Linked DNA regions of Drosophila melanogaster. The protein of the gene in region 1 interacts with the protein of each later gene in a pairwise test. Each region holds a gene or a part of one and is shown in the gene's direction. Other genes may lie near its edges. The genes, in order: cactin and cact.

Region 1 (4,676 bases):
GACACGCCCCAGCCAGTCTGGTCCTCCGGATCGCTCCAAAGCAGGTCGCACATGGGCCCGTCGTGCGGCACCTCCTGCTTCCGGTCGATGCTGCGAATCTGGTCGAGGTACTGGATGGACGGCGACAGCCCGCCGTGCACGCAGAATATTTTGCCGTCGATGATCGCCGAAAGGCTGAGGTAGTCAAAGATCTCCGTGCAGTACCGCCACACGGCCGTCGATCCGTACTTGCGCAGGCACTCATCGTAAAAGCCGTAGACCTGTGTGATTTGGCGCGACTCATGGTTGCCCCGGATCAGCGTGATTCGGTCCGGATAGCGCACCTTCAGCGCCAACAGCAGCAGAAACGTCTCCACACTATAGTAGCCGCGGTCCACGAAATCGCCCATAAACAGGTAGTTCTTCTCGGGCACATCGCCGCCAACCTTGAACAGCTCCTTCAGGTCGTAGAACTGACCGTGGATGTCGCCGCACACGGTCACTGGCGAGTCCACACGCTGCACGTTGCCCTCCTCCACCAGGATCTCGCGGGCTTTGGCGCACAGGGCCTTCACCTCGTTCTCCTTGATGATCTCGCAGCGCTTCAGTTGCTCGATCTGTCGGTCCAGGTCGCTGTAGTCGGACATCTTCACCCGGAGGATGGCGGCAGCCGAGGCGACGGGGAAGCGGTGAATCGGACTGCAGGCGTTGACAGGGCGGGGACAGCGTTGTTAGTCGTTCACCAAACTGGCGCGGGTGGTTTTCAGGTAGCCACAAGGTTGCATAAGAGAAATACTATAAATTTTTGGTCGCTTGAGTGATAGGATAGGGTACTACTCTAGTCGTGCACAGCAAGTCTAGCGTTTTAGAGGCCATAAAGTGCATCTGTATAGCTGCATCCCCCACATCTAAGAATCAAGACGATTCAACTATATTTACGGATTGGGCAAATAATATAAACACACACATTCGCGTTCCCAGCTATTCCACTTGTTGAGATAGTCCATGAGGCTATTTCGCAATGAAAAGCCAACCAACGAGAAAAGAGGCTATATTCTCGATATAACTTCTTTTAGCTGTTTTAGATGGCTGTGTTTTAAGTGAATGCATACACATTTCTTTCAAATACGAAACGTGTATTTGACAGTGGATAGGGTTGGATTTGTTTTAAATCCAGAATTTCTGGATTAGAGATTAGTTCAGATTTTCAGTTGCTGCTGAACTGGAAGTAAGGTAACTAATAGTCGACTAATAACCATCCTTTTGTTTGTGTTTCGGTTTTTGAGTTCGCCTGCATGCGTCTGTGTGCGTCGGCTTTGTGCGGATGCTCGCGTGTGTGTGTGCGTCTGGCTTGTCGCTGGCCTTTTTGCCGCGCGCGATTTTCACCGTCTGCCGTGTTTTTCCTGTCTTCCCCGACACTTTTCCAGAATCACTACTTACTCAGCGCAGTGGCGGGCTATCTGGACAATCCTTTTGCTGGTAGCTCGGCTCTCGTGTTGGCGATTGAATACAAAAAATGCACATAAACGTTTTTGCCAACCGGGTTTCTGCGAAGAGCTGGATTGGCTACTTGCGTTTGTATCGATATATTGAGTAATGGCACTTGCAATGACACATCGAGTCTTCAGTTTCGATAGTGGGCATTACCACGAAGACCCTAAAAAGCCTTTTACACTGCACCAAGGATTCCATCGATAAATTATTTATTTTTGTGTATTTATAATACGCTGCAGCCGAAATTTTAAAATTTAAAGTTTGTAAAAACTAACCCTTGGAAAAATAAATCGACTTATCGGCAAGAGGGAGATGTGTTAATGTTATAATGCTTATATCGATAGCACTTTTGCAATTATTAGTGGCTATCTGGGTTGGTTTTCTCCATCTGGCAACGCTAGCATTGTTTATATTTTATTTCACAAGTTTTATCCCGAAAAACTCATTAAAAAAGATGCCCAAGGAGAAATCCAAGCACCGGCATCGCAGCCGCAGTCGGGAGAGGCGGGATCATCGCAGTCCGGATCCGAGGAGCAGCAGGAACAGGGATCGGGATCGTGAACGCGAGCGGGAAAAGGATCGTGACCACAGAGATCACAGAGACAAGGAACGTGACCAGCGCAGGGAAAGGGAAAAGGACAAAAGCAGGGACAAGAAGCGGGAGCACAAAAGCCGGAGACGCCGGTCCTCTTCCTCCAGCTCATCCCCGTCGAGTTCGACGTCCAGCTCGGTGCCCGGTGCCCCTCGTTCGCCGCTGGTAAAAAGCCCGATGAAGCTTCTCCAGACGCTGGAAGCCCGTCGCCTCGTCGAGCAGAAGGATCGTCAGCGTAAAAAGGAGGAGCTGAAGGCCCATGAAACGCCCGAGGAGAAGCGCGCCCGTCGCCTGCGCGAAAAGCAGGCCAAGGAGCAGCGGCGTCGCGAACGAATGGGCTGGGACAACGAGTACCAGACGTACTCCAACGAAGACAACCCGTTCGGGGACTCCAATCTCACCTCCACCTTCCACTGGGGCAAAAAGCTGGAGGTAGAGGGACTATCAAATCTCTCCACCAAAACCGTAGAGGTACTGTCTCTGCAAAAGCAGTTGGAAAATCGCAGGGAGCTGGAGAAGGTCAAGAAACGGCGTCAGGAGAGGGAGCTGGAGCGGCAGGTGCGCGAGGATGATCTTATGATGCAGCAGCGCGCCAAGGAGGCGGTGCAGTTCCGCGAGTGGCAGCGACAGGAAGATCAGTTTCACTTAGAGCAGGCACGCTTGCGCAGTGAAATCCGGATCCGAGATGGACGTGCCAAGCCCATCGATCTTCTCGCCCAATATGTGGCCGCTGGGAATGAGCCGCTCGAAGAGTGCCTCGAGATGCAGATGCACGAGCCCTATGTGCTGCTAAACGGCCTGCCCGTGGAAGAACTGGAGGACCTGCTGGTCGACATTAAGGTATACGAAGAGCTGGAGCAGGGCAAGCACATCGATTTCTGGAACGATATGATCACCATTGTGCAGGATGAACTGCAGCGCCAACAGAAACTGGAGGCGGAGAATAGTTCGCTCAATCAACGCCGGGATGGCATCCACCAGGCGGTGGTAAAGGATGTGGCCGATATTTTTAGGGGGAAGAATGCTCAGCAGCTGGAGGAGATGCGGCACCGCATCGAGGCCAAGATCAGTGGGCGAGCGGATGGCGTCGACATTAGCTACTGGGAAAGCCTGCTCTCGCAACTCAAGGCACACATGGCCAGAGCTCGACTGCGAGATCGCCATCAAGCCTTATTGCGCGAGAAGCTGTCGCTGCTCAAGCGAGAAAACGATAATGAGACGTTGCAAGAGAAGGTGGCCCCACAAGTCAAGGAAGAGGAGATGGAAACCCAGGACGCAGAGGACCCGGAGGTTGAGGAGGGCTCACCCGAAGACGAGGAGGATCCCCTGAATGAGCTGCGTAAAACAGTGCGTCTTTACCAGGCAGGGAACTACAGCCCGCGCTATATACGCGAAGAGGACTTCACCGGCAGACGAGCGCAAAACGAAGACGTCGACGAACCGGAGGCAGAAGGACTTCTCTACGAGGAGGAGGACGACGAGCGGCGAACACAGAGACAGCGTCTGCTAATCCTTCATCCAGAACGAGTGGATAACAATCAACTGACCCCGCAGGAACTGCGAATGCGCAACGAGGCGAAGCAGGGAATGCAGGGTGACGAGGCCGAGTTCAGTGTGGAGACCACCCTGGATGCAGTGCCGCAGCTGGCCACCGATAAGTACCGACCACGAAAGCCGCGCTACTTCAATCGCGTGCACACCGGCTTCGAGTGGAACAAGTACAACCAGACGCACTACGACATGGACAATCCCCCGCCCAAGATCGTGCAGGGATACAAGTTCAACATATTCTATCCGGACCTTATGGACAAATCGCAGACGCCGCAGTACTTCCTCACTCCCTGCGCGGACAACGGGGACTTTGCGGTGCTGCGTTTCCACACAGGACCACCGTACGAGGACATCGCCTTCAAGATCGTCAACCGGGAGTGGGAGTTTAGCTACAAGCGGGGCTTCCGCTGCCAGTTCCACAACAACATCTTCCAGCTGTGGTTCCACTTCAAGCGCTATCGCTACAGGCGGTGAAGGATTGTCACCGTCTGGCCTAGATTACCCAAACCATCCTTTTGTGCAGTCCTATGTTATTTTCCAATAAAGTGTAAGCCCAGAACAACTAGCAAACTCGTTCCATTTATTGCGATTGTTTAGTTGACTCCACTTAAACTGAAAACTGTTGTTTAACCTTTACCCATTTTTCAATTCATCCATCTTGCAAATAAGGAGAGCATTATAATGTTATATTTATTATTATATATGTATATACCATATATCACAGGATTTCAAATGGGTTCCACAAATGTTGGTGTAAGCGTGAAGCTATCGTGTTTAAACAGTCTAGGCGTGAAAGTAGGAGATCACATCACGACGCAGTCCTTGATGGGCTGCTCCAGGACTTTCTCCACGGGCTCTCCACGCTCCGCCTTCTGCACTTGGGCCAGGACACTCGCGTGCTGGGGAAATGCCAGGCAGGAAAGCTTCGAGTGCACTAGCTGACCGTCGATGGACACCTCGAAGGATCCCCGCCGTCCCGTGCGACAGGATATGTCCAAGTCGGGCGACGAGGCCAGCAGGAACTCGCGCAGCAGGTGGCACTGCCCGCTAAAGTTGCAGA
Region 2 (5,201 bases), on another chromosome or scaffold:
CTTAATCGAAACGACGCCGCCAGCAAGGGCGGCAAGTTTAAGCTGGATCAAGTCTAGAAGTTAAGAAAGTTAAATCCTTTAGTTTATTTGTAACCTTTATGGATGCGCCAGAAAATGCATTGTTAAACAAAAAATGCTTATAAGATCAAAGTTATTTTGATGTGCTCTTGTAGACGTCAACAAATGCGCTTAGTTCTTTGTTTATATCGCTAGCCACGGTGACCAGAGGATCCTTGTCCACTTCAGATACAAATACCAGGCATTCTTCATTTAAAGATTTGGCCAATATAGGGCAAAACTCATGGAGAAAACCCCTTTCTGAATTACTATGATTGCAGAGAAGAACGGTGGTATTGTTGTGAGTAAACTCCAGAACTTCGTGATGGGACATTTCGCCGGTAATGATAAGATCCGCTTGGATACCCTTCAGCAGAGATGCTCCAGAGCCGGCACAAATGCCGACGGATTGGATGAGTGTCTTGGGGGTGTGGCCCACAGCTAGAGCAACGTGCACGCTGTTTCTAATGCGCTTTTGCAGAGACTCCACCACCTGGGAAAGCTCCATTTTGGTTTCTATATATCTACCGGATCCGGTACCCGGAGGAGCACCCAACTCCGGTTCCAGAGGGCGGATGCTGATGATATTCACTGCCTTAGATAGCCAGTCGTTGACGCCACCACTCTTCTTATCCCACGCCGTGTGGGGCGAGTACAAGGCTATATCGTTGGCCAAGCATGCTGCCACCACGCGCTCCTTCCAATGTGACTGCGTAATCCTGGTCAGGGGCTTGAAAATTGGCGGATGATAGCTGATTATGAGCTCCGCCTCCTTCTCTAGCGCTTCTTTCACTACGGGCTCGGTTAAATCGTTAGTTAATAGTATTTTCTTGATTTGTTTTTCGCGGTGCGGTTCGATCAGGAGTCCCACATTGTCCCACTTCTCTGCCCAAGAAGTCGGAGCAAAGTTCTCCAGCTCCTTGACCACAGCCGCCAGCTTTTGACCACTAAAAGTGTTCATCCTTCTCAGCATTCCTTGACGTCCTTTGCAAAATATTTCTGGTCCTGCGTTTAAGATTTTGTGCAATTGACTTATTGGCCGGTAAGTGCTGCCAACTTAATTTTTGTTGTTTTACCTGCTCTTAAAATCATCTGTTATCACCCGCAATTTTTAAATTGGGCGATAAAGTAATTGGTTAATATTAATAAACATTAAAAAACACTACTATAATTTTATTAGCAGGTCACATTTTTGTTGCGTAATTTTGTTAGAAAAACATTTAATGAATATTTGGATTTTATAATAACGAGAATAGCAAAACAGTTTTAATAAAACGATAAAAGTTTATGTTATAGCAAACAAATAATTAGAAATTAACAAAATATTTAAAAAGTTTATATACCTTAATAAATTTATCAGATTGGCACCAAACACTTGTTTTTAATAGAAAAACGAACGCCTGATAAATAATAATTCAAGAAATTCAATCGGAAGCCGAAGAATTTAAATTTTAAAGAATAATTTAATTAAGTCATACAAAAGCAAAAAGCAAAACCCGACAAGGAAATGACCAAACCCCTAAAACTGAAGAGTAATTTACAAATTCCCAGCAATTTAATCAAAATTTTAGGAAACAAGTCCGATTTTTTAATAACCTATTTGTTATAATAAATAACTTTACAACTACGAGAGGCGGAATTTTAAATTTTAAATTAAAAAAGCGAGCAAAAACTTTCGAAACTACTTGTGACCGTAAACACAGGTTTTATGGTAAGAATCTGATAATCTTGTAAAGCCCCTCTAAATTTCTTGGATTCAGATAATTTTTTAATCAATACAACCTTGTAAAAACCAAAATAATCGTATATATAATATTTCATGAATTGGCGATAAAATGTGATTGAGTGTTAAAAAATCCCAGAAGGAGAGTGTATGACAAATCGGTCGCTCAGAATATCCCATGAAATTCAGAATTGGTCGAGGTTTCAATCGAAGCTGACCTGTGAAAAACCGAAGAAAGAATCCTGCATTTCATTTCCGTTCTCGGTCAGCGGGTGATTTCCCAGATATTTGTCCGCCTCGCCGTCATACGCATTTCAACCGTAGGACGCCGAGCATCAACATCAAGTGGCTTCGCTCGAGGAACTAAACAATCACACAATCAGAGAGTAAGAAGTATAAATAAACGCATCGCTGCTGTGGTTGCTTTTGTTGCAGCTGACCATTTAGCTGCTCATTTTGTTGTTGGGAGATTTTAACTTGGCGCTCTCCCTACTATCTGGCAACCCTATGGTCTCCCTCGCACACATGTAAAACTGATTTAAGCCCCGATTACACACTCCATCGTCGATATATTAAGGCAAACGTTTTCACTTCGGTCTTTTCAAGTCTAGAATTTTATTTTTTTTGGGCAAATATGAAAAAATAGATTTTTTTCAATTAACAGTTTTCTAAGTAAAGAAAATTTAAAATCGAGACTCTTCATTTCGTGATAACTCTTAGTGCAAACGGGGCTTTATAGTATAGACTGCCATATAAATATATACATATCAGCGCGCTCCCTCAATTTCATTCGCTATCGAAACGTGAAAGAAAGCAGACGTGCGTCCGGGTACTATGCGAATTGCAGATTACAAACATTTAAACCATAAATACGCGTTTTAAAGACAGCTTCGCAAGACAATTAACCAGCAAGGTAGTGAGAAATCCATAGAAAATAGTGCTGGGGTTTAAACCCAGAACATGTGCAGAAAATAAAAAGCGAAAAGGAAGCTGTGTGAAAAGGGAGATAAAAAATCTACCTCAGTGTGATTGTGGGTGTGTGCGGGTGAAACAACCGTGAAGAGGCAAATAAGACATTGGCAAATGGAAAAATCTAAAATTTTCAACCAGTGTGAAACCGTAATTTTTATTTTTCTGCGGCTACACTTGTACATAAGTCCATAAATTGCCTTTAATCTACAAAAATTATTGCGTTTTCACTTGTTCGCTGGAGCCTATATGTTTGTTTCACTCGCACCACCGAGGTGAGCGCTTACTGTGCGTGTGTATGTGTGTGTGTTTGAGAGACTGGGCTCAAAAGCAAAGTTCAAAACGACAGGAGTATATATATAACATATATACATATATTTTAGCCCAACTGAGAGAGGAAAAGCACGAAAATGCCGAGCCCAACAAAAGCAGCGGAGGCAGCAACAAAGGCAACAGCAACAAGTGACTGCAGCTGCAGCGCTGCCAGTGTTGAGCAGCGCGCCCCCTCAAACGCGGCTAACCCCTCGTCCTCACTAGCCACTAGCGGTAAAATTGGCGGCAAAACACAAGATCAAACGGCCGCCATTAACAAGCAAAAGGAATTTGCCGTGCCAAACGAAACCAGTGATTCGGGCTTCATCTCCGGCCCGCAATCCTCGCAGATCTTCAGCGAGGAGATAGTCCCCGATAGCGAGGAACAGGATAAGGATCAGCAGGAGTCGGCACCCCAAAAGGAACAGCCCGTTGTCCTCGATTCCGGTATTATCGACGAAGAAGAGGATCAGGAGGAGCAGGAGAAAGAGGAGGAGCACCAGGACACCACCACTGCCACCGCCGATTCAATGCGACTCAAACACAGCGCGGACACAGGCATCCCACAATGGACCGTCGAAAGCCATTTGGTCAGTCGCGGCGAACAGCTTAACAATCTCGGCCAGAGCAGCAGCACCCAAATCACCGGTCGCAGCAAGGTTCAATCCTCCACAGCCAGCACGGCGAACGCGAATCCTTCGGGATCGGGAGCAACATCATCCGCTCCGCCCAGCAGCATTAATATCATGAACGCCTGGGAGCAGTTCTATCAACAAAACGACGACGGCGACACGTAAGTAAACATTATAGAATCTCAGGAAATGTCACTTTATTCTAGACTTTCAAATTATTTATATATGTGCAAACCACATTTATAGATAACTTCGAATGTGTATTTTTAATGTGGGGAAATTCCCAAGTATGATTTAAACATTTTAGCGCCTTATCTCTAGGTCACTTTAAAAACTTTCCCATGCTTATTCTTAGACTAGCAATCATAAGAACTTTATATTTTAAATATTTTATACAATTGGACGGTATTTTTTGAAATTGGAAACGATTGATTATATTTAGACTGTCACAATCGCCAAAAAAAAATCTTTATTAGAATTTAGGTCTTCATGCTCTTAAAAATCAATTTAACATACTCATTGACAATTCACGATTAAAGATTTATAAGCACAGTCTTTGAATCATTTCCGAATTTCTATGAACTTATACGTGCCGTATTTCCGATGAGAATCCTAAAATTTCCCAAAATAACAAAGACAACGCCGCGTTGCACTGATGACCACCAAGCGAGCTAAGGGGAGAGTTTCGTGAATCACTCAAAGACGATTGTCTGAGGCGAGAAACGCGACTGACACATGTGTTTTAGTCAGGCTTTGGGGTTTTCCTGGTATGTGGGCAGGTACGGGAACAGGTTTTTCGGGGCACCTCTTCTTTCTTCACATTACTTTACCTCTACTTAACTTACTTGGGTTTTTACGCCGCCACATGAACGGCGACAAGTGTACAGGAAGGAAAGAAAGTGCGGGTGTTCGATCGCCAGGTAAAAGAAACCCACAAATTCATGTTGTTTTTTTTGCTCTCTCTCTCTCATTTCAGACCTTTGCACCTGGCCTGTATTTCGGGATCAGTGGACGTGGTGGCCGCCCTGATTCGCATGGCTCCTCATCCGTGCCTGCTCAACATCCAGAACGATGTGGCCCAGACACCCCTTCATCTGGCCGCTCTTACTGCCCAGCCGAACATCATGAGGATACTTTTACTCGCCGGAGCTGAGGTAATATTCAACAAAGATCGAATAAGAAGATTTAGATATTTGCATATTTGTAAAATCTAGCTTAATCCCCTATTGACGAATGTAATGTCATATCATCTTGATTTTCTAACAAAAGCTAATTTAAGTATTTATATTTGTAACAAAAGATTCCCATTACTCATTTGAATAGCCCACGGTGCGCGATCGTCATGGAAACACAGCTCTGCATCTTTCCTGCATCGCCGGAGAGAAACAGTGCGTCCGTGCCTTGACAGAGAAGTTCGGCGCCACGGAAATCCATGAGGCCCACCGACAATATGGACACCGATCCAACGACAAAGCGGTCAGTTCCCTGAGCTACGCCTGCCTGCCCGC

What was found.
Region 2: the proteins of cactin (region 1) and cact interact in binary tests that used the Drosophila melanogaster proteins (3 or more experiments, as listed by UniProt).

What each region holds. Positions count from the first base shown.
Region 1 is NC_004354.4:20,422,227-20,426,902, forward strand, and holds cactin (cactin), read left to right. Parts: upstream 1-1,842; 5' UTR 1,843-1,927; coding exon 1,928-4,090; 3' UTR 4,091-4,176; downstream 4,177-4,676. Other genes in the region: Pp4-19C (protein phosphatase 19C), read right to left, coding at 1-626; CG15456 (uncharacterized protein), read right to left, coding at 4,420-4,676. UniProt on the Drosophila melanogaster protein: Plays a role in pre-mRNA splicing by facilitating excision of a subset of introns. Plays a role during early embryonic development. Involved in the dorsal-ventral embryonic patterning.
Region 2 is NT_033779.5:16,322,986-16,328,186, reverse strand, and holds the start of cact (cactus), read left to right. Parts: upstream 1-1,979; 5' UTR 1,980-2,166; intron 2,167-2,561; exon of another isoform or gene 2,562-2,693; intron 2,694-2,766; exon of another isoform or gene 2,767-3,132; 5' UTR 3,133-3,159; coding exon 3,160-3,854; intron 3,855-4,669; coding exon 4,670-4,847; intron 4,848-5,016; coding exon 5,017-5,201. Other genes in the region: mRpL4 (mitochondrial ribosomal protein L4), read left to right, coding at 1-57; CG4278 (uncharacterized protein), read right to left, coding at 152-1,030. UniProt on the Drosophila melanogaster protein: Involved in the formation of the dorsoventral pattern. It inhibits nuclear translocation of the dorsal morphogen in the dorsal region of the embryo. Acts as a negative regulator of the NF-kappa-B (rel) signaling pathway.